6 linked regions of the Danio rerio genome follow. The protein of the gene in region 4 interacts with the protein of the main gene of each other region in a pairwise test. Links are inferred from orthologs where the notes say so. Each region holds a gene or a part of one and is shown on either strand. Other genes may lie near its edges.

What was found.
Region 1: the proteins of eda (region 4) and sec22a interact in binary tests that used the Homo sapiens proteins (3 or more experiments, as listed by UniProt). The two-hybrid records come from large-scale screens. The link is inferred for Danio rerio from reciprocal best matches to the Homo sapiens genes EDA and SEC22A.
Region 2: the proteins of eda (region 4) and cyb561 interact in binary tests that used the Homo sapiens proteins (3 or more experiments, as listed by UniProt). The two-hybrid records come from large-scale screens. The link is inferred for Danio rerio from reciprocal best matches to the Homo sapiens genes EDA and CYB561.
Region 3: the proteins of eda (region 4) and mala.1 interact in binary tests that used the Homo sapiens proteins (3 or more experiments, as listed by UniProt). The two-hybrid records come from large-scale screens. The link is inferred for Danio rerio from reciprocal best matches to the Homo sapiens genes EDA and MAL.
Region 5: the proteins of eda (region 4) and zgc:92045 interact in binary tests that used the Homo sapiens proteins (3 or more experiments, as listed by UniProt). The two-hybrid records come from large-scale screens. The link is inferred for Danio rerio from reciprocal best matches to the Homo sapiens genes EDA and LEPROTL1.
Region 6: the proteins of eda (region 4) and dolk interact in binary tests that used the Homo sapiens proteins (3 or more experiments, as listed by UniProt). The two-hybrid records come from large-scale screens. The link is inferred for Danio rerio from reciprocal best matches to the Homo sapiens genes EDA and DOLK.

What each region holds. Positions count from the first base shown.
Region 1 is NC_133184.1:39,560,897-39,565,560, forward strand, and holds the start of sec22a (vesicle-trafficking protein SEC22a), read left to right. Parts: upstream 1-1,346; 5' UTR 1,347-1,496; exon of another isoform or gene 1,497-1,500; intron 1,501-1,947; 5' UTR 1,948-1,970; coding exon 1,971-2,152; intron 2,153-4,664. UniProt on the Homo sapiens protein: May be involved in vesicle transport between the ER and the Golgi complex.
Region 2 is NC_133178.1:21,562,568-21,566,094, forward strand, and holds the end of cyb561 (transmembrane ascorbate-dependent reductase CYB561), read right to left. Parts: intron 1,081-3,527; coding exon 888-1,080; 3' UTR 770-887; downstream 1-769. UniProt on the Homo sapiens protein: Transmembrane reductase that uses ascorbate as an electron donor in the cytoplasm and transfers electrons across membranes to reduce monodehydro-L-ascorbate radical in the lumen of secretory vesicles.
Region 3 is NC_133186.1:32,864,517-32,868,790, forward strand, and holds mala.1 (mal, T cell differentiation protein a, tandem duplicate 1), read right to left. Parts: upstream 2,761-4,274; 5' UTR 2,725-2,760; coding exon 2,635-2,724; intron 1,821-2,634; coding exon 1,653-1,820; intron 1,565-1,652; coding exon 1,433-1,564; intron 1,252-1,432; coding exon 1,177-1,251; 3' UTR 925-1,176; downstream 1-924. UniProt on the Homo sapiens protein: May be involved in vesicular trafficking from the Golgi apparatus to the cell membrane. Plays a role in the maintenance of the myelin sheath, and in axon-glia and glia-glia interactions.
Region 4 is NC_133180.1:37,397,207-37,400,078, forward strand, and holds part of eda (ectodysplasin-A), read left to right. Parts: intron 1-679; coding exon 680-804; coding exon of another isoform or gene 805-810; intron 811-945; coding exon 946-1,206; 3' UTR 1,207-2,872. UniProt on the Homo sapiens protein: Cytokine which is involved in epithelial-mesenchymal signaling during morphogenesis of ectodermal organs. Functions as a ligand activating the DEATH-domain containing receptors EDAR and EDA2R. May also play a role in cell adhesion.
Region 5 is NC_133189.1:363,292-368,078, forward strand, and holds the start of zgc:92045 (leptin receptor overlapping transcript-like 1), read left to right. Parts: upstream 1-1,841; 5' UTR 1,842-1,960; coding exon 1,961-1,976; intron 1,977-3,845; coding exon 3,846-3,921; intron 3,922-4,456; coding exon 4,457-4,643; intron 4,644-4,787. Other genes in the region: F-box/LRR-repeat protein 12-like, read right to left, coding at 360-689. UniProt on the Homo sapiens protein: Negatively regulates growth hormone (GH) receptor cell surface expression in liver. May play a role in liver resistance to GH during periods of reduced nutrient availability.
Region 6 is NC_133196.1:5,409,393-5,412,902, forward strand, and holds the end of dolk (dolichol kinase), read right to left. Parts: 5' UTR 2,935-3,510; coding exon 1,360-2,934; 3' UTR 877-1,359; downstream 1-876. UniProt on the Homo sapiens protein: Catalyzes CTP-mediated phosphorylation of dolichol, the terminal step in de novo dolichyl monophosphate (Dol-P) biosynthesis. Dol-P is a lipid carrier essential for the synthesis of N-linked and O-linked oligosaccharides and for GPI anchors.

The sequences.
Region 1 (4,664 bases), on a different chromosome or scaffold from region 4:
CATTTCTGTGTGGAGTTTGCATGTTCTTCCTGTGTTTGTGTGGGTTTCCTCCGGGTGCTCCAGTTTCCCCCACAAGTCCAAAGACATGCGCTATAGGTGAATTTTGGTAGGCTAAATTGTCCGTATAATGTATGTGTGTAAATGAGTGTGTATGGATGTTTCCCAGTAATGGGTTGCAACTGGAAGGGCATCCGCTGTGTAAAACATAAGCTGGAATAGTTAGCGGTTAAATCCGCTGTGGTGACCCCAAAGTTCCCAAAGGTCAGAGCCGAAAAGAATATGAATGAATGAATAATACTATTATTTTTCAGCTGGACTGTGGGTGCACGATCATCTAACCTGCCACAGCTGAAATCTACCCGCGTTTGGGGGTTTGCGGGTGTTAATGTCAAGCCCCGAGTATAATCATGAGGAAAGCAACTAAAATCGAGGATAATCTTAAAATACATCTGTATAATATTCAGGAATCTTAGGGTTTTTATTTATTATTCTTAATAAGATGAAGTGATTTTAGGAGAAAGTTGAATTTTATTCTAATGAGCAAAGGAAGGGTAATTTTATGCAAATTTCTGTTTGTGAATGAAAAATTAGCCATATAGGTTTAAAAAGTTATGTGTTCCAGGGGTTTATCTTTTGGGTTATTATGATAAAAAATAATATCTTTTAGACTAAAGCAATTGGACAATCAAAAACATATGTACTGTCTCCTCTGCTTGTTTGCAGAAAGAACAGGAGCTGTCAATGTCCAAAAATTTAAAAATACTAGAACTTACAGGATAAATTGTGTAAAATTGTAAAATGCATTTATTTTGCCTTGTTGGACATGCAATATTTCCCAGGTAAAAGCCTGGTTCTAGTCCAGACTATAAACTCAATGAAGGTCCTCCATATATCTTTCTTCTAGAAGAAATGTGCCTTTTAAATAGATAAATTTGACACACAAACTTATTGTTAAATTCCTTATCTAACAGACTAAAAGGAGAATGAATATCCACTAAGTCGGTTAGTTCTACAGTGACTTTTAACTAGGTGAAATAAACCAGGTGAAATTGCTTAAACCACTTTATTAAATTCTTTAGGATGAGCTGGGAAACTGATATGTTATAAATTGTTCATAACAAAAACAAATTTCTTGCATCATCAAACAAGCAAAGGATACAATTAATATTATTTTAAATCCACCTATGGAAAAATGATTTGTTTCTGATTGTAATATCTCGGTTATTCCATAAAAAACATCGGTGGATTACAGTGGCCCACAAATAATCCTTTACCTCACCGAGACCGTCACAGAGCCGAATGTTTTCCGAAAATATACGAAGAGAAACCGGGACTGTGCCGAAGTTGTTACGAGTTTAGCCGAAGCTGTGTCGTACGTAAGCAAAAACCGTCCGCTATGAGACCCGCAGGAAGAGCTCAACGATCAAGATAGTATATCAACAAAATAACTCAAAAGGGTTATAATGTCTTAATATATTTTTAATCGGCTCATGTCAGTAGGTATGTACACTGAAAGACTGTGTTAATGCTTGCAATAAGTGTCGCTTAGTGTCTAGTTAAGTATCTTGCTATGGTAGCAGTACAGCCATATAACGCTACTGCACATCATTGTAAATCAATGCGATGAATAGTTTTAAAGAATAGCTTGACCTTAAAATATTATAAGCCTGTATTATTGTAGATATGGGGTTCTGTAGCGCATAAGACAATCACCAAACGTGATATGATGACAATAAGTCAGCAAACATGCTAATATTATTAGCTTAGCACAGTGTGCACCAGATGTCATGAGTCCACGTACATAGAGCTGAATGATATTATAGAATTCGTAAAATATGTCTAGATTTTGTATGTAATTTTTTAGATTATTCTAGCTAGCAGAAAACTAAGAGGGTGGTAAATGGGCCATTATATGCAGTGAATGCCCTAAATATCCTGTTCTTCCAGGTGTCAACTGAGCTTTCTGTAAGATGTCTATGGTCCTGTTTGCCTCAGTGGTGAGAGTGAGGGACGGTTTGCCTCTCTCAGCCTCCACAGACTATGAACTGGATAAAGGAATTCAGGAGACAAAGAAACATCTCAAGGTCCTGTCCAAAAAACTCAGCCAGTTTCCTGATCGCTGCTCACTCAGATCTGGACTATACAATATCAAGTGAGTTTTGCATGTAGTGGCATTTCACCTTCTAAATGTAATTTCATAATTACAAAGTATTCTTTGCAAATTCCAAATAGGGAAAATCATATTAGCAGCCAGTGACTATCAAAGTACTACATCGTTCACAGTCAATTAAATAGTGCTAATGTTGATTTGTCATACTTTTGAAGTCATCAGTGGCCCTAAGCAATTACAGGTATGGGGCCCTAGCATTGAAACTCAAATCACTTACTTTCTCTATACTGTAGATATTTTTTTTTCACTGTAGAGTCACAAACAGCAAGCTCGCAAACTATGTACAGTTAAGGAGCCATATTTGTGATTAGATTTTAATATTTGCATGTGCGGAACGGAAGGAACATTCCACTATTTATGGTGGCCCTTAGTAGTAATAATGTCAATCTTGTAATGGTTGTAGACAGATTTTACCACATATGATAAAAAACTTATAAAAAAGCTTAATGAGCAATATAGGCTTCTTCGCATTGGTCAAGTCCCCTTAATTCCCTGGGCCCCTAAGCGGCTGCTTACCCCTCTCATTGGTTAAGTCCGATCCTGGAAGTCATACATGCGATTTCAGAATTCAGACCGAATATTCAAACTAGTATGTTAAACAATATACAGACCTTCCATACAGAAAAGTGTGTTCATCAGCTTTTTAGTTACAGTTAGTAACAATATAATGTGTGGTGCTCATAACAGTACATCATAATAATTAACCGCTATTAGCCTATTTAAATTCTGCTTTACTATTTAATTGAACGCGAATGTCTGAATGTGTGAATATAAAAACAACTTCCCCCAAATGGCTATGCTATACCACATTTACACCATAGATGTCCAGTGTGAAAACCAACTGTGATGTTTGCACTGGAAAAACATAGACTTTAAAGGGACTGTTCAGCCAAAAATGAAAATCATTTACTCACACTCCACTTGTTCTAAACTTGTTCGAGTTTCCTTCTTTTGTCACTAAATAAGATATTTTGAAGAATGCTGGAATGCAGCAGCCATATAATTCCTTTTTTTTTTTGTTCCTACTATAGATGTCAATGGATGAGTTTCCAACATTCTTCAGATTTTTTTGTTTTGTGTGGGCTGCAAGATGGATAGAAAGTCTTAAAATGTCTCAAAAATAAATTTTAGGCCTTAAAAAGTCTTAAATCTACTTAAATCTTTAATTTATTTATCAGGTCTTCATTTTCCTTTGTTTATGTGTAGCTATCCAATCTGACCAACACCATACAATCATCAACAATCCATCTCAATTAAATATTTAACTTTTTTACTTAGAAATTTTAACTCCATTTACCATAATGGTGTAATAATTGTTCTTACAGTAACATTTGTTTAAAGTTCTCTATGTATTCACTGCTGAGGATACTGACCTGACCTTTATTTTTAATTATTAAATTATTATTATAATTTTTACTATATTATTAAATGTGTTCAATTATTTTTTGATTAGGTAAATACATTTTTTTCCAACTGGGATATAGGTCTAAATTTATTTTATAATGGTCTTCAAAGTGTCTTTAAAATTCTTAAATTTATCGTAGTGTAACCTGCAGAAACCCTCAGATATTCTGACTCTGTTTGGCTGTTGTTTTAATCTTTATTTTTGCATTTTTTTTATTTTTTCCTATACCTGTATAAGGTCATATGGGCACATAGAGGTAACACCGACACTACTGAAACTCATTTTGACTTGTTTTAAGGACATTACATCAAAGTTGGATCAGTCTGTTGAGTGTTTTACTACTACAAGTTTAAATGTGACTCAAAATCCAGACCTCCATGGGTTAATAAAAAGGATTTCCATTGATAATCTTTTTGTGATTTTTATTGTCAGCACATTCAACTATGTAAATAACAAAGTATTTAATAAGAATATAGTCAGATCTAGGATGTGTTTTTTAGTGTTCCCTTTATTTTTTTAACAGTGTATATTGCATATACTATAAATTTTGCAATATATTGTGCAGCCTTAGTTAGAAATAAACAGAAAACTATAGCTAGGCATGCTTTTTATCTATTTTATTGCTATTGATTGATGGTAGCTGTAATGTTTAGTGGAAGAAACAAAAAGGCAGACTTGTTTGTTAAAATGCTAGGGCAAGTAGCCTAAACGATGGCGGATATTTCATATTTGGATGACCATTCCTTTAATTAAAACATCCCAGCTAAAACAAATCACAGTGGGGTGCTGTGCACTGGTTGCCAACTGTTCTGATGCAAAATTAAAAGTTCCCCTTCAGCAAGGTCTAATTCAGATGCATTACACTGACGGACCCAGGGGTGACCATTTCATAGCCTGGCTGCTATTCATCAGTCCACACTTCACAAGCAGGCAGAAACAAGTCCGATCTCTCTCTGGACTGACTCAGTGGATCGTTTCATCTCTCAAATAGACGTTAACATGGAGAGACACACTGACAAAGTTTCTTCTTTCCTGAGGGCGAGTTACTAAACTGTTCAGATTCAAAGCAGGTGTAAAACAGAGGGTGAT
Region 2 (3,527 bases), on a different chromosome or scaffold from region 4:
ACACTTCCGATGAGATCGGGATAATCCTGTTTTTTTATATATTAAATAGATTGCAATCTGAGTTCAAAGTTTTGAATAACCTGATTTTTTTTTTTTTTTAATAAAAGGGCAGGTTTGATCTAAATCAAATGTAAGATTAGATTACATGGTCTGATCCTAATTCAAACTCCCTGTGTTACTTTTGAAAAACCCATTTGCAAGATTTGATCCAATTTATGATCCAAAATCCCTCTGGATTACTTTTGAAAAACTGGGTCCAGGTAATCACTTATTCCAGCTAGCATTTTTGTTTTAAAGTCTGTGTGAACCAGAAATTGCTGAGACTTCTCTTTCAGTGTGTTGACTTTCCTCCAAATCAAATGGAATATTGAGTAGGGGGCGGGGCTTTGATTTTGTTAGCATCATTCTCTAGTAGCAAACTACTTTAACCAAGACATTCATGTTTTGACATCTATTAGACACAAAACTGCAAGGTGGGAATGTTCTACTCAGTGTTTTTCACCAAGTGATGTGGAAGTAGTTTTACCCTGTAATCAATTTTTTGTATATAGCATTTACTTCATTTTTAGTCACTTTTGCATCACTTTCTTAAATCAGCATGTCCTTAGTTCTCAAACTGATGTTGTACCATTCGTTTTTCCTACTATGGAAGTCAAAGAGTTCCAACATTTTTCCATGTATCTTTTTTTGGATTGAACAGATTTGTTAAACTCATAAAGGTTTGAGGAGTAAATAGTGAGTAAATGCTCATTTTTGGGTGAACTAACCCTTTGGGATGGTGGAACATGGCGGCGAGAGAAGACTACAGATGGAGGAGCTGGCTTAAATGTTTAATAAGACATGGGTAGAAAGAGCAGAAAGGGCTGTTTCTGGAGCACATTATGACTTTAAGGAGAACTGGGGATTTCTCCTTCTGACAGGGTCTTGAAATGGACGGACAAAGCCTCCTCTTCAGGATTCGGTGGTCGCCTGAAATCTTCTTTGGTCACCACGTAACCCACCAGCACCCCAAAGCACACCAACAACAAGCCTAAAACATTGGCCAGGATGCCCTCAGGAGCAAACGTTGAGTAAGTTGACCTGAAGATAAGATTATCATCGTTTAATAAATAGAAAACCTTTCTGATTTTATTATTCAGATTCCTATTATGGATTTGTTTTTGGGAGCCACCCATTTATGTGTAAAGTGTATTAATGAAGTGTTATTAATCATATGTTCAATATATTTAATCCATTTTTATAAACCGTTTATGATTTATGCAGTAATGGGAACAAACTGAATAATATCTTAAAGCAATGGTCTCAAACTCAATTCCTGGAGGGCCGCAGCTTTGCGTAATTTAGCTCCAAGCATCTTCAATTCACAACCGCTTAATAGTCTCTAGTAGTCTTAAACACCTAGATTATTTGCATCAGCTGTGTTTGATTAGGGTTGGAACAAAACTGTGCAGAGCTGCGGCCCTCTAGAAATCCAGTTTGAGACCCCAGGCTTAAAGGGAACCTATTATGCCCCTTTTTTTACAAGATGTAAATGAAGTCCCTAGAGTGTGTATGGGAAGTTTCAGCTCAAAATATAGGTCTGCAGACCCGACCAGATTTCTTGCGGCGCGGGAATAAATTTCAGAATAAAGCGCAGAAGCGGTCGGTAACTGGTGTAATTTTGGATGGGAGCTAACACTCCCAAGCGAGCACACGTACAGTATGCATGTCTGTGAATTTAGCTTGTTTGTTGCTGTCTGTGTGTGTGAATGAAATCTACAGCTCAAAAGACATCACAAACAATAGTTTATGGCTCATTAAATCTCCCCCTTTTAGGTTTTGATCCTAATTTTGCCATTTTGGTGACTGTCACTTTAAATTCAAATGAGATCGTGCTCTTTTGAGAAGAGGGTGGAGCCACAAATGCCTATTTTTCATCAGGGATAAGCAGTATTTATCTTACAAGTATTTAAAATATATTGAAATACATTGGTTTATGAAAATAACTTTTTAATTTTAACTTTTTTTTTTTATAAGTTTTGTGTCAATACTTTAGTGTCTTGTATTTTTGTATTTTTAAAATACTTTGTAGGAAGTCTACATGATGATGTCATCTTAGGAGAATGCTTAAACTGCACAAATAATAGTATTTTTGGATGAATTGGTGATGTAGATGCCAAGAAAATAAGACCAACAACATAAACAAGTCCTACAGTGGCTGACTTATACTTGCTCAGAAAATAAGCTGTTACTATCAAGCATTGTTTACTTCACTAAGTCAGTTTAACAGTGAAGGGATTGATTGAATATGCCTGCTAGCATACAAAATACAGTATTTCATTTTGATACTTGTTGTGGCTGCTGTATTTTGTAGATTATTTTGATACATGTAAAATTAAGGTATTTGGTATTTTAATTTAAAATACATTTCAATGTATTTTTGTCCATCCCTGTGTGACGGCATAGTGGTAGATTCAAAAACAAGCCGTGGTCTACTCCCGCCTTGTATACTTCCGCTTGCTCCCACTTGTATACGCATGCAAATGCTGCAGACCGGAAATGTAAGCTTGTTCGAAAAGTTTAGCATTTTGCTGTGTTGCACAGTTCAAGCTTGGTGAACTCTGACCTGCGAAATCACATCACGTGATAGCGTGAGAAAAATAGATGATCAAAACATGACCTTTCTGTACAGCAATTATGTAAGTATGGAGCAATTTCTCATTTTTTAATGTCTAATCATATTGTTTAATCCAACCCCTTTTCACAGCACTGACAGAATTTCACAAGCTCAAACTCTAGAGCAGAGACGCCCAAACTAGGGTATGTAGGCCAGAGTAAGCCCACCATCCCATTTTAAAAGAGAGGGAGAATGATGGAGAGGTCAATGAAGTGAAAATCTTTGACAAAGATAGTCGTTTAAAATTTAATGTAATTTTTTGTTTGTTTTGTAAATAAATCTGTATATAAGATAAGGGCCAGGGCAAGAATAAGTGCAATGCACAAGACATCGGCGAGCAAATCAAGGCAACGGCTGGTGCAGCTTAGTGTATTCATTTAATACGTGTGTGTGTGTGTGTTGAGCATCAGTTAAGACAATGTTAGCACCTGTTAGCTTAAATTGTGAGAAAAACTATATAATTTTGAGCTTTTGTCAGCTAATTTTATCTTCCGGGTTTAAACTAATTTTTGGGGTGGGATCAAAACCAGTGAAGTAGCGTGAATCTGCTAGTGGAGTGATGATGTATTGGTTTCTCATTATTATTTATAGCGGAGTTTTCTTATCCTATAAGAAGACCCTGCTTCTTAATTACTCATGAGAGCACGTGCAAGCACGAATCAAGGCAGACCTGCCAAGCTGTGAGACCCAATGTCTGCGTGAAACTGCGTTCACGTACAGCAAGCGGTATTTAGCCATTTATGAAGGGTTGTAACGTTATGTGTTTGTTTCCATGATTCACAGGGGTTTGTTGCATGTGTTTCTCTGCGATGCTGTCAGGGCTGATACAGCAAAGCTGTTTGTGTTCAACAAGCATTTTTGGACTTTGTCT
Region 3 (4,274 bases), on a different chromosome or scaffold from region 4:
TTTGCTAATTAAGCTGCCAACACCCATGATGCACCCAGCATGGGTGCTTCAGCAAGGTTGTAATCTCAAATCTCAAAGCATTACATGAAAATCTTCTAAATCTTCAAACTACAGTGAAGATTAAACTCTAACAAGTCTTTCTATTAACTTTAAACACATAAGATTACTTTTATTGTCAACATTTCACAATCTTAATTCAGTCCCACACAAAGTATGCTGAACTACAAATCCCCTAACCAGGTAGTTGAACCAACACAAAACGCTTAAGTTAACTTAATGGTTTACAAATTTAAGTGGATTTAACATAAAACAAAGGCAAACTCCGCATTGAAATGCCAACTGGCTGGGACTTAAACAAGTGAAATTTTTTGCTGTAAGATGTTTGTGATAACCACTGAGCCATCATGCTGCCCTTGAAACAATATTTTAAGGTCTTTTTGACGTGTAAGCCACCAAACCACAGCACTAAAAAATGAAGGAATTAAATTAACTTAAGTTTTTACAAATTTAAGTGGAGAAAACATAAAAAAATTAAGTTGTCCCAATAAACCCTCAATAAGTGTGTTGTTTTAGCTTATTTTAAATAAGTGGTTTGAACAAATACAAATAAAAAATAGTTTGAACAAACAGCAAATGTTTCGTTTTTTTTTTTGAGCAACCGCATAACTTCATGCTAAAGAGTGCTCCAAAAATAGCTTATGGTATCAACCACGACGCCCTCAGGGTGTCACATTTGCATTTTTATTTATTTATTTATTTTTTGCTTTTGTCTGTCTTTTTTTCCCAGTAAAAAGTAGTTTTATGGTGGTATTGTAAAAGCAGAATCTTGTAAATAGCAAGTTAGTTTAAAAAAAAATCTTGCTAACCTTTCATTTAAAAATAAAGAAATATATGTTTATATAATTAAGCGCCACACCAAAAAGATAGTTTATTATTTTGTTTATTAATTAAGTCATAAATGTAAAAAACATTACTTGAGATAAGAACAATTTACAAAAAAAATATGATGAAAAGGAAGAGGGAAAAAACTTAACTGTTATAAACTTTACATAAATTTATCACATGAATAACTGCTGATGAACTAAATGCATTTTTCAGTATACTTTTTGCAAACATCATGCTTTAAAGGCCAGTTGAGCAGTCATTTGGTTTGCAAAATAAGTTAAAAAGCTACTTTTAGTAGGTCTTCCATCGCAAGGCTGAGAAAATGGTGTGGGTGAAATACAGTAAAGTGGTCAGGAAGGAAAAAACCTGAAATTAAAGACACACAGAGAGTCAACATACTTTAGACTTCAACGTTTAAAACGTGCAGTAAATTTTTAAGATTTTGTAAATTAATGCTTTTTCATTCGTGTTCAAATATTTCACCGTTACTTAATTGTTTTTTATTTAACAGGTAAAACCGATTTAAAAAGAGACTACACAAACTCACCACAGCAGCAATGTCCAGCTGGTAAATAAGGAAAAACATGTTATCTGGCTGACTCCACCCAATGGTTACCAAAGCTAAAAGCACAGATGCGCTGAGATAGAGGACTGTGGCACATCCATGGTATGCTACATCCTGCAGAGAGAAAATTAACAAAACATATAAGATCAAACACAAAAGAAACGATTAAAAAAGTGAAGATGTAAAGAGATTATTAACTCACTGCGGTTGCCCAGGATTTTCTGTTATGATGATACCCACAGACAAACACCATCAACCACAGGAAAGTAGTGAGGAAGCAGGCTATTGTCACAGAAATCACGTACGCCTGAGGGTTGTAAGGTATGAGGTACGTAGATGCCACCAGTGACAACGTCAGACCGCCAAAGATCTGAGAAATGAACATAATAAATAACGTTCTTGAAGTTACTGATCAAGAAAATGTAGGCTAATGTACATAATGAAAATTATGATGGAAACCTCTGTTTTTTGTAAACATCTGAATTGGACAAATGGAAATATGACGCAAAATAGATGAAATAGAAAATGAAAGCTTCTCAAATGTATTAGTAATACCTGATCTATTGGACACTTTTGGTGATTATAGATGTGTGTGCTTTTATTTTATGTTATCATTTTCTTTCAGTTTAACCTTTTATTTTAATTTGAATTTTTTATGTAAAATATTATACAATCATTTTAATTATAAAATACAATACAAATCTAACATTTTACAGTGACTTTTAGTTGGTTTTTCACTTTTAAAAATGACAGATTAGCACTTTTTAAGTATGTATTTATTTACCTAATCAATAGTTTTTAAGAAAATTACTTTAAATAAGCTGACTTTAATAGTGTACGCTTTGGATTAACATTTTATTTTTACATTCTTATCATCATTATAAAACCACAAAATCTCCTTTAAAAAGTTATTAGAACAGATATTAGATTCTGCACTAAACTTAAATTCAATTGGCACCACTGTCTTGCTTGGTTGGGATGTGTGCATCAATAGATTTCTCTTCAGTATTTGGACTTTCTGCAGTGAAAATTAAAGCACACTGAACTGAACTAAACTGAACTTCAACTCTCAAAACTAGAGTGACACATTTTCAATGTACCAGAATGTCTATGTTAAGCTGCTTTGACAAACTAAGTTAGGAGCATAGCCTGCATAAAGCATTTAACAAATTAAATCAACTCACAAGCTCTGGAAGGAAGAGGATGTCAGGAATGATGCAGAAAATTGCCCCTCCGCTTGGTAAGTGACCCAATGGGCCAGTGTTGGTTGCCATATGTGTGTCCTTTTAGTACACGTATAACAAATGTTTAAGGAATTCAAAAGACAAGTTCTATTAAAGAGCTGACAAAAATGCTAGACAGACCTGTTCATCTTGACAGATCTGATGGATTCCATAAGGACACACCCATCTGCTTTATTTATAGTATTTTCTAGACATTTACGTGACAAACACTTGTTTACGAATGGTTATAACGACTGATATGGCGGTACATTAATCAAGTAGAATGTTGTAAAAATCAACAATCATTTATTTAACAATAAAGGAGGATTTTCTTGTTTATAATGAAGCACCACACCAAAGAGATTATTAATTGTTTCCTTTATTATACAAGTCATATTTGTAATAATTTATACTTTAGGTGAGAACAATTTACAAAACAAATACCAGCAGAAAATGTTTTAGAAAATTCATAGTATATGCACTTAAAAGGTGAAGAGCAAACAGGCATTTTACACTATTATCACTTGAATGTCTTTTGCTTTGCTTTTTGAAGATATCATGCTTAAAAGGTCAGTTGTGAGGTCAGAGTGCAGATGTTTTTAGAAAGACTTCCATCTGATGGCTGAGAAAATGGTGTGGATGAAATACAGCAAAGTGGTCAGGAAGGAAAACACCTGAAATTAAAGACACAAAAGTCAATAGACTGTAAAAATGCTGGATTCCATTCAATTCATTTATGTTAGTACAAATTAAGTTAACTGTTTTTACTAATTTAAGTGGATTTAACATAACAATTTAATTGTCCCCCCAAAACTCAAGAACTATGTTGATTTAGCTCATTTTTAGTTGTTTGAACAAGCAGCAAAAAATATTTTTTGGAGTGTACTGTTGACTTTGATGAGTTTTGTACAATGTGTCTTTGGTAATCTTGCACTGTAAAACACAACAGTCAACTTTATCAAATAAAATGAGTGTAGTTAATTCGATTTACAGAAAGTTATTTGTACTTATTTGAAAAGAGTTTTGAACTCAGTATTAAAGGTAATGAGTTAATTAATACCTCATTACTAAAATAGAATAGGTTCACAGTACTCATTTACATTAGTTTTTTTTTTTTTTTACTCAAATGGTTTGTAGCAATTGGTTTCCTCAAACGGTTTGAGTTGCCTTAACTTATTGGGTTTTACTGTGCTCAAATTGTTTCGTTTACTCAAATGGAGTAAGTTCACAGTACTCATTAGGATTAGTTTTTAAACTTAAATGGTTTGTTGCAATCAATTTCCTCAAATGGTTTGAGTTACCTTTTTGGGTTTTACAGTGTGGTAATCAAGATTTTTTTCGGAATATTTATTTCCATTGTCCATCAAAGGTAAGGCTGAAGACAGGGGTGGCAATAGGTGGGAAATTAGGACAATTCTACTTTCCCACTTTCCACTTTCCCACCCCACCCACCAAAAACCCCTAACTCCATCCAACTCTCCCTCCAACACTTTCGTCAGGCGGAACAAACATCCCCCCCCCTCATTTTCACTTGCTTCTACGACTCTCTCCCCTCTTATAATATTCATCTAGACCCTTCCCCACTCGGCTCGATTCAATTT
Region 4 (2,872 bases):
CAATATGGTTTAATTATCATCCTTACAATGACATTTGTTTATAATGTTTTTAATGTTTTAACTGGGCCAGAAAAAAATGTAAATCTGAAATTTCATTCCCAATGTTCTTAAAAAGGTCTTAAAGTCTTAGATTTGACTTGATGAAACCTGCAGAAACCCTGTATTAAGCTTTTGTGTGATTGAACCAAGTTCACATATTAAATTTGAAAAAATAAACACTAATAACGTTTTTTTAGAACTTTCTGCTCACATAAAAATTACAAACAGAAATTTGTGTCAGTTTCCACTGATAATTGATCGTTTATTCCATTCATAATAACATCAGATGTTTTTTAAATACCAAATCTGCATATTAAATTATTCAGATTCTGTCACTCTAATGACTGAAGTAATGATGCTTTGAATCACAAGGATACACTTTGAAATACTTTAGCATAAAGATGTTTAATATATGAAAAATATTTTAATAATAGTGTAAATAGTGTAATACTGTATTATAATAAGAGTGTAAAAGGCATTTTTCTTTTTTTAAAGTTTATTGATCATTGAAAATTAGAATTTTTTATGAAAATGTCAGTTTATATTAAAAAGCTCTCAACAGTTGAGCCCTGGTGTGTGTGTGTGTGTGTCGCTACAGTCACAACAGATGATTGAGTATTTACTGGTGTCTGTCTGTGAGATTTGTCAGAAGGTGTGCTGAAGAATTGGAGGATGATCTCGATCCACCAGAGAGTGTTTAAAATGCACTCGCGCTCTGGAGAGCTGGAGGTCCTACTTGACGGAACATACTTTATATATAGTCAGGTAGAAGTGAGTACAGTCCCTGGACTCTACTGCTTATACACACACACACACACACACATACACATATACAGCATGCGTTTCACAAATATACCACAGCAACATTAAAAGCCCCAATGCGCTTTGTGTGTGTGTTTGCACCAGGTATATTACCTGAATTTCACCGACATTGCCAGTTACGAGGTGATGGTGGACAAAACTCCGTTCTTACGCTGCACCAGAAGCATCGAAACCGGCCAGCGCAAGTTCAACACCTGCTACACAGCCGGAGTGTGTTTGTTACGAGCTCGTCAGAGAATCTCCATTCGCATGGTATACGAGGACACCTCCATCTCCATGAGCAACCACACCACCTTCCTGGGCAGTATCCGGCTGGGGGACGCCCCGTCTGCAGGACACACCTGATACCAAACCTGAACACATGCACAGATCAGTACCCAAAACACCCTCTGTCAGCCCTTACACACCAAAGCAGACTTTAAAAAAAGTTCTAGAAAACTGGTTTATGTGACTAGATGAGCTGAGAGACTATGTGTGTGTGTGTGTGTGTCTCAAATAGACTCAAACACACAGACGCACACACGTGCGCATGGAAGAAGTGAAGCTGCAGTGTTTTCAGGGACTGGAACTGCAAACAGAAGTGTTTATTTTTCTTCCAGTGAGAAACTCTACTGTGTTTCTATGCAGCAGACACTCAATCTTTACATTCAACAGCACACGCATAGCGAACCTGTGTACCAGTCTATTCTAAATAAGCACTGATAATGGCATTGTATTTAAAGCAGAATATCTATGTTCAGTTATCTCTCATCTTTTACACACAGTCAAGGATGTACAGTACCTGTTTTTAAGTCACAGCGTTCGGGACAGGATAGTGATGTTCAGCTTGATTTGCTCGTTTGGATTGGTTCTTTTACGCTTTATCTCTGTGCAGATGTTCAGGCACTGAATTTGATGGTTCCTTCATAATGCTTTTTTTTAGTATCCCTCATCATTCTGAATATGAAATACCCTACATCTTCTGTAGGGGGCAGCAGCGCTCCTCAACAGTAGATAAAGGCAGCACTAAAACGGTTGGACTAGAAGTGTTTGGATTAGAATACTGTTTTGCAGTAATTAGCATGCATATATATATAGTGCTCCGCATAATTGAGTACACCCCATTTTGAAAATGAATATTTATATCCATTTCTTAGTGAATCTAGGCTATGTATTTTGGTGCATTTACACTAAACATTTATTAAACAGATATATGTATTATTATATTATATATTAAAAATAACATTTTAGTCACCAAACATATTTAGAAATTGAAAGATAATACAATTAAATTAAAGCAAAATATTGCAAAATAATTTGCAACCTACAAAATTTCAACTGAATAATTCAAATTTTTTGCTTCTCTTGATTTTTCCTCTTTTTTAAAATTTGTATTTACTATTTTTCTATAACAAATAAATTTGGCTGTACTAGTTTTTGGAGCGTTATTTAAGTCATTTTGTTAGATAAGCTCCAGATTTGGCTTCAGTGCTGACTAATCTAATGTATATGCTCAAATATAATATTGTACAGCTTCCTATTAAAATATGAATTTAAAAGAGAGTTTTGTGAGGGGTGTACTTATATATGCTGAGCACTGTACATATATAGGGTGTATATAACCCCTCTGTGAAGTTTTAATTCTTTTTCAAATAATACACAAGTGTTGTTTAACAAAGCAAGGATATTTTAACAGTATTTCCTTTTCTTCTGGAGAAAGCCTTCTTAAGTAAATAGTAAGTTTTTCGCTGGGAGAAACTTCTAAAGTCAATATTATTAGCACCCTTTAAGAATTGTATTTAGATTGTTTCGATTAGCTACAAAACAAACCTCTACAGTGACTTGCCTACACTGTAAAACCCAACAGTCCACTTTATCAAATGAAATGAGTGCAGTTAACTCAAAATTGGCTGAAAGTTATTTCTTCTCGTATGAAAAGAGTTTTGAACTCAGTGTTGAAGGTAATGAGTTCATTAAACGCCTTATTACTTCAACTTAAAGGGGGTAAATTCACAGTCCTCATATAGATTAT
Region 5 (4,787 bases), on a different chromosome or scaffold from region 4:
GGTGGTATGTACATTTTCACTTCATAGCTCATGTATCCTATGAAGACTTTGTCAGGTAGTTTTGTTTCATCAAATGTCAGCATTATTGAAAGACTGTCACATATGGCTCCGTTCCATCTTGTTTTTAAGCGTTTAGCTTCTTTTATTTTAGCATTCGTTATTCCTTCAATCACGTTGTTTAATGACTCACTTACCGGTATGCCTGTGATTACTCCTCTTATAAGTTTTCTGTCATAGACCTCAGAGCATTTCACTTTTTTACCATTTATTTTATTTACTTTGATTGCTTTCTTTTGTTGAGCCTCATCTTTACATGACACCAATAAGCATCCATTCCTTAATTTTTTAGCACATCTTACCTCCCCAATCTCCTTATACAGAGCTTTCGTTAGTTGTATAGGACTCCAATCCTCAAATGTCGCCCCTTCCTGTACTAGTCTAACAAACACATTATACTCTTCATTTCCTTCCTTTACTTTGGATCTCATTTCTTCGTCACTATCTAGTTTGTTTTTTCTTTTTTTCCGCTTTTTACCTCTACAGTTTGTCCACGGTTCGCAACTCTCGCTACCCTCCATCTCCTCTACTTCATTTCCTGATCCGTCATTTCCGTCTCCCCACTCCTGACCATTCTCAATCCAGTCGTTGCCAACCGCCTGCACTGCTCCTCCTCCACTTGATGCCGCCATTCCTCCTCTCAGTTCCACACGCACGGACAACAACACCGTACATACAAAATAAAAGACACGAACTGTCTCTCAATGTTCCAGCAAAACGGGTTCTTTATAAACCAAATACTAAAAACAATTATCTATAAAAACAATGCAATTTATTAGAGCGATAATTTTGACTAAATGCACTACTTTAGGAATTTACATTTAGACTATCTTTGATGTGAATTGACTTTTCATATAAAACATAAAACACAAAGTCCAAGGACTGACCTGCAGCTCAAACATAAGGATATTTCAATTCTTTAAGAGGACTTTTTATAAATTTACTTATGGTTTATGGAAATTTCTTTATTTTTAAATGTAAATGGGTAGTAAAAAATAGTTTTACTTCCTTTAAGAAATATTAAAGCATAAAAAATAATAATTAAATAATTTTATTTAATTAAACGAATTACATTTTTATAAATGAATTATCATTTATTCATTCGTTTTCTTTTTGGCTTAGTGCCTTTTACCCGCCATAAACGAATTAAATTAAACAAATTATAGGCTGTGCAGATTGTTTATGTTTTAAGTGCTTTCTTGTTAGGTGAATCTGGGATTGTTATCAAATAATTTACATTTCTTGCATAAATACTACAAAAACGACGCGTTTGCAAATTGAAAATGTGCATTTATGAATATAGAACGTGCATAAAAACATTAAATTTTTCATAAAGCAAGCATTATAATTCGCATAAAAATAAATGGTATTCAATGGAAAATTATGTGATTTTATTCCTTTATTTTTAATCATAAAGGGACGGCGTGTTAGAAGGGATACAGCTGCGGCCGGAAAGTACGGGGAATTATTTATTAAATTACCATTAGTTGTGTTGTATTAACGTCTACACCAATACGCCTACCCCGACCCTAAACCCAGCCCTCACAGTAATGTAAAAAACAGTAATTATTCAAAATATTATTCATATTACTTATTAAAGTACTCATTAGTTGTAATTTAATAACGTCTACTCTTCTCCAACCCCAATCCCAACCTTCACAGTAATGTTAAAATATTAATTATTCTTGCACAGTTTAAAAAAAACGCTTTATTGATGTGATGCGAGTATCCGCAGCTGTATCCCATTTACCGATTGTTTTGATGCTCACCGGAAGGGCTTCTGTTCCGCGCATGCGCAGTGTGGAGGGCAGCGCTAGCGGAGCGGAGGATCATCAGCGCGAGGAGTTTCCTCAGCTTTAATTGTTCGGTCTGTAATTAATTAGTGTGTTTATAAACCTGCGCCATGGCCGGAATTAAAGGTAAACACCTCTCAGTGTGCGCGTGTGTTCTGTGTGTGTGTTTGTATAGTGTTCAAGCGATAGCTGTTTGAGGTTTATTAGCGGCCGCAGATCTACAGCCTCCATCCACACACAGACACACACACACACACACACAAACACACACACACACACACTCTCTCTCTCTCTCTCTCTCTCTCTCTCTCTTTCTGTACATTTGAGTAACTTATATTGTGTTTTTAGTAGAGATTAACATCCTTTCATAAAACAGACTGTCTGTTGTGTTTGTGTGTGGATGTACACGTCTGAGTATATTTACGTGTGTGTGTGTGTGTGTGTGTGTGTGTGTGTCTATACACATTATTATATTAACTAGTATATGAAGAGTTCAGATGCAAAAACCTCTAAGTGCTGTCTGAAATTTCCATCGAAAATGAACATTTTTTTCTCAGCCTCCTTTGTTTATGTTGAGATATTTCAAAAAATATGTAAAGGAAAAGGACTTATTCTTTGCCATAAAAGTGACAATACTGAACACACACACACACACAGGAGCCTGATAAAAATGCTCATTTTAGAGGAGTTTTTGCGTCTAAACTCTTCATATTAACCTGTTAATTAGGCAAGTCATCGAAACATAATTATTTAGTTCGTTACAGGTCTAATAATATTGCCCACAGCAGTTTTCAGAAATAAGGCTACAGAAGAAAAACTAAACAGAAGCACTGAGAATACAATTCTGCTCTAAACATCATGAAACATGCAGGGCTAATAGTGTTGTCTTCAACTATACACACACATACACATCTATATTCATTAACACACACACACAAAGGATTGTGATGTCATCTGACCTCTCACGAGGCATGAGTAGTGTGTGTGTGAGAGAGAGAGACACGGGGGCTACTCGTGCTCTTAGGGTTCACAGTTTATTGTCTTATTCCACAATCACAATTATTTATTCAACTGATTATCTTAGCTCATATGAAGTAACATTTATAAAATATAATATTAAAAAATACAAATATTAACTAAAATATTTCCATATTTTATATTTTCACAGTGCGACAGCACCGAGCCTTACATTAGACTTTTGCTAATTATTCAATCGTTTTCTTTTCTGCTTAGTCCCTGAATCAGGGGTTGCCACAGTGGAATGTACCACCAACTATTCCAGCATATGTTTTATGCAGTGGAGGCACTTCCAGCTGCAAACTATCTCTGGGAAATTTTGATAATTAGTGACTAACAATTTTATGTATAATTAAAGCGGTCATGATTGTGCAAACGTTTAGGATGTAAATAATCATAAAAGATGAAGAAAATAATAATGGGGTGACACAGGGGTGGCTCAGTGGTGTTGCACTGTGGCCTCACAGCAAGAAGGTCGCTGTTTTGAGTCTCGGCTGGGTCAGTTGGTGTTTCTGTGTGGAGTTTGCATGTTCTCCCCGTGTTGACGTGGGTTTCCTCCACACTGTCATGCGCTATAGGGGAACTGATCAACTAAACTGGATGAAGTCTAATGTAAGTTTCAGCAAAATGCACACACTGCAGGCTGTGCAGGGTTGCCATGTCCAGTTATTCTAAGCGTCTGTGGGCTTTTATTAGAGTTAATAAACTGGTCTGGATAACTGAATATCAGTAGTATTTTCAATATTAAGTATTGAATTTGTTTCCAGTGTGTAATGCACCTGTTCTTGTTTGTTGTTTGTTCCACCAAGATCTGGCAACCCGAGCGAGTCACTGTCCGTATCTGTTCCTCCTCTTTCTCGCCCAGTGATGATTTAATGTTTGTTAAATCATCGCTGAACTCGCGCTGTGAATGTCAGCCATGCGGAGTCTCTTTAATCTGTGTGTGTGTGTGTGTGTGTGTGTGTGTGTGTGTTTCAGCTCTGATCAGCCTGTCGTTTGGAGGAGCCATCGGCCTGATGTTCCTCATGCTGGGCTGTGCTTTACCTGTCTACAAGTGAGTCTGAAGGTTTACATTAGTGTGTGTGTGCGCTGTTAACACTGGTTTGTTTGTGTGTGGTGATTGTTATTAACACGGGTGTGTGTGGAGCATTATCTCTGATGTTTGTGTGTGGGGTGGCAGTTTGTTTGTAACACCGGTGTGTGTTGTGTTGTGTTAACACTAATGTGTGTGTGGAGTCGTTAACACTGGTGTTTGTGTTGTGTATACTGGAGTTTGTTTGTTTGTTTGGTTGGGGGGGGGTTGGACTGTTTTAACGCTGGTGTGTGTGTGTGCGTGTGCGTGCGTGTGTGTGTGTGTTTCTGCATGTGTGTGGTATTTGATTGTATTAACGTGTTCTTTGTTAATCATACTTTGTGTGTGTGTGTGTGTGTGTGTGTGTGTGTGTGTGTGTGTGTGTGTGTGTGTGTGTGTGTGTGTGTGTGTGTGTGTGTTTGTGTGTGTGTGTGTGTGTTTGTGTGTGTGTGTGTGTGTGTGTGTGTGTGTGTGTGTGTGTGTGTGTGTGTGTGTGTGTGTGTGTGTGTGTGTGTAGTGCGTACTGGCCGTTGTTCCTGCTCTTCTTCTACATCCTCTGTCCGCTCCCTCACTGCATCTCTCGGCGTGTGGTGGAGGACTCCGACTCGGCCAGTAATGCCTGTAAGGAGCTGGCGGTGTTCCTGACCACAGGCATCGTGGTGTCGGCGTTCGGCCTGCCCATCATCTTCGCCCGCGCTGCCGTGGTAAATATTACACACACACAAACACACACACAAACACACACTGTGAAAACATAATGTTGGAATCATATGCAGATATTTGTAGAGTTATACTGTACAGTGTGTGAAGTGTTTTTTGGACAGTTTGAGGAGTGTTTGTGTCCAGTG
Region 6 (3,510 bases), on a different chromosome or scaffold from region 4:
ATATTTATGTATCACTGTGTGAAAGGGACTAATGACTCACTCAAAAAGGCTTTACATGTTTTCTTACTGAATGAACCTGCATTTTTTTTTTTTTTACAAATCTCTTGAACGATTCATTGACTTACTCATAAAGGCTTGACTTGAGTCATTACTCAAAGAACCAGTATGTTTTAACAAATGCCATAAACGATTCAATGACACGCTAAAATGTTTTATATAACTAGTAAAATGTTATGTACTCACCCTCACCATGGGGAAGATAAAAAAGGTGATATTAGAAATTAGTTAGTTAAACTATTATGTTTAAGGCAAAACTAAATGAGTTGAATATGACTTATCTGTCATCTGTTGAACCTTCATTTTTGAACAAATTTCTTAAATGATTTAATGGCTCACTTGACTTCGCTTAATTCATTATTGGACAAATCAGCTTTTTTGCATGAATCTTGAACAAATGATTTATTGTCGCCACCTACTGGCATGAGTCAGAATAAGATTGAATCAATATTGTGATTTTTAACAATTAATCATGCAGCTCTAATGTTGTATTTTACTTGATTCAAATAAATATTGTAACAAACATAACGCAACATAAGGGACAGATCACCCAAAAATGAAATTTTTCTCACTATTTACTCACTTTTACAAACTTTTATGAATTTCTTTCTTCTGTTGAACACATTCATTCATTCATTCATTCTCTTGTCTGCGTAGTCCCTTTATTAATCCGGGGTCACCACAGCAGAATGAACCGCTAACTTATCCAGCACATTTTTACGCAGCGGATGCCCTTCCAGCCGCAACCCATATCTGGGAAACATACACACACACACTCATACACTACGGACAATTACTAGCCCTCCCAATTCACCTGTACCACATGTCTTTGGACTGTGACCGGAGCACCTAGAGTAAACCCACGCGAACGCAGGGAGAACATGCCAACTCTGCAAAGAAACGCCAACTGAGCCGAGGATCGAACCAGGGATCCAGCGACCTTCTTGCTTTGAGGTGACAGCACTACCTACTGCGCCCCTGTTGAACATAAATATTCTGAAACATTGATAATACGCAGCCATCTAACATCCATAGTAGGAACAAAAAATACTATGGAAGTCAATGGAACAGAACAGTGTTCAACAGAAGAAAGAAATTCAAAGTGGAGGATGAGTTAATGATGAAACATTTATCATTTTTGGGTGAACAATCTCTGTAATGTAGCGGCTAACATTAAAAACAGGGACCTTATTATAAAGTACCCATATTTCGTTCAAAATCCAAAAGAAGTCCAAAACTAGCGCGGTACCGTAGTTTATGAATTTAATATGTCTGTGCATTGGCATGAGTGTGGTTTTGACCTCATAGCAGCAGGAGGATGTAGAGATACAGAGGAAGCAGAAGGTTGTCAATCTGCGACGTATAGGCCTCCAACATGGCCACCATAGAGATGGATCCCACCACCCACGAGTAGCTGGCGTTCAGGTTAATACTGCTGTCGGCGATGAGGAAAACCACCACAGCGATAATCTGAGCGAACACAGAGGACGCCGTGCCCTCAAATGTCTTCTTAGTCCCAGGCCAGCGGATTTCACCCACGTTGCTGCCGAAAACGGATGCCACTGTGTCCCCGACCCCTACAGCAAGGACTCCAGCATAGGGTACTAGCCCACTAGCGCCCCCTAGGCCTCCTTTTGGGGTGCACATCCCAGGTGTCAACCACAGTGGAAGAGAAACGCCAAGAAGAAGATAAATATGAGTGAGAATAAGTGGTCCTGAATCTCTCTCATCAAGGAATAAGGTGAGAAGACGTCGAAGCGGAGCCCCGAATGGTCGAATGCGAAAATAGCGGACATATTCGAGAAACAAAAATGCAGAGAGGCAAACAACCGCAGACAAATGCAGCAAAGGACGATCCAGAGCGAGTCCGGGAGCGAAGGTTAAAACGGTGAGCAGGTGGAAATACTTCCGCACTGTCGTTGATGCTTGATGCTTCTTGCTGCCTGCAGATCGATGACTATTTTGATGCATCACAACGGCAACTGCTAGAAGCGCCAAAGCGGCCCAAAACCCAATGAGCCAAAGTCGAGTGTTTGATTCAGTGATGAAATGCATCAACCAAGTGATTGGATGGTGCTGCGTGAGTAGAGATAGCCAAGGAACCAATAACCCCAATCCCAAAACCGCAGTCATGGTATGGAAGAAGAGCGACGCTGACCAGGTTTCAGATTCCATGAATATAAAAAGCACGGCGAAGAATATTCCCAACAGCACTAACCCTAAAACAGCTACCGGGAGGAAATACGGAAGCGGGTCTGAGTTTGCATTTCCAGACGAAGCCAGAGAGCGCTTAATTAGCTGGTTGATGATAAAACTAATCCCGCCAAGGATCAGAAGGGCTTCGCCGGGGGTGAAGCAACGTGGAAGGAGGTACAGCAGGATTAAACTTAGATACACAAAAATCAGAAGCACCTCCAAGACTTCGATGACCTCAGACACTGTTAGTGTTTGCTTCACGGTGTACAGAATAGCACTACTAGCAATTCCGGCGATAACACAAGTGTTTGTTGGCACCGGCCGCGTGATTCCCAATGCGATGAGCGAGAGGAATAGAGCCAACATCATTCCGATTACTGTGATGACCATTGCGAATCGCTCCATGTAGACGTTTCCCACAGCGAGGCAGCGGCCTCGTAGGGTGAGTCCCAGTAGTGGCAGCACCATACTGGCTGGCAGGACGCCGCTGTTGGCTGAAGGACGAAACTGGAAGACGGCGGCACCAGAGCGAATCAGACGATCCCATTTGTGCTGCACATAAAAAGCCTGGACGGCCAATGCCATGCAGCACCAGGACAGCTGATTCCACACGGCCATGTGTACGGAAACCACCATGGCGAACACCACCGCAGATTCAACCAGCACTGGATCCATCTGCATGACTGCAGAGTGTGTGTGAAGGTTTGCAGAAAAAAAAATGATGGACTTTCTTTTGTGTCAGAAAGTTCCTGGTGCACTAATAAACATTGTCCACTTCTTGTCCTCTCACATACAGCCAGTTAGACCTGGGTAAAGACACATTCAGAAAAAAACAATCATTAGACACAAAGATACAAATAATATCTAAACAATAATTGAAAACACTCAATGCTATAATTGTAAATTACGATATCCTGGAACAGATAGGGCTAACGGATTCGACATGTTACCAGAGGAGGGAGAGGTGTCGCGGATGAAAGTGGAGAGGGTTGGGGAGTCACAGAAGAAAGTGAAGAGTCGTGGGGCGGGGGTGCGTGTGAGGAGGGGGATCAGTAAAATAAGGTGCTGGACCAGATTTCAGAGGTGCCAGATCCGGATCTGACTTGTTCCGGTACAAATTAAGCCCTGGTAACACTTCATTTTAAGTCACAATTTCCGGTGTTTACTAGTGGCTTATCATCTTACATTTGATCTTATCGTATCATTTATATTTATGCATTTAGCAGATTCTTTTACCCAAAGCCACTTACACCCATA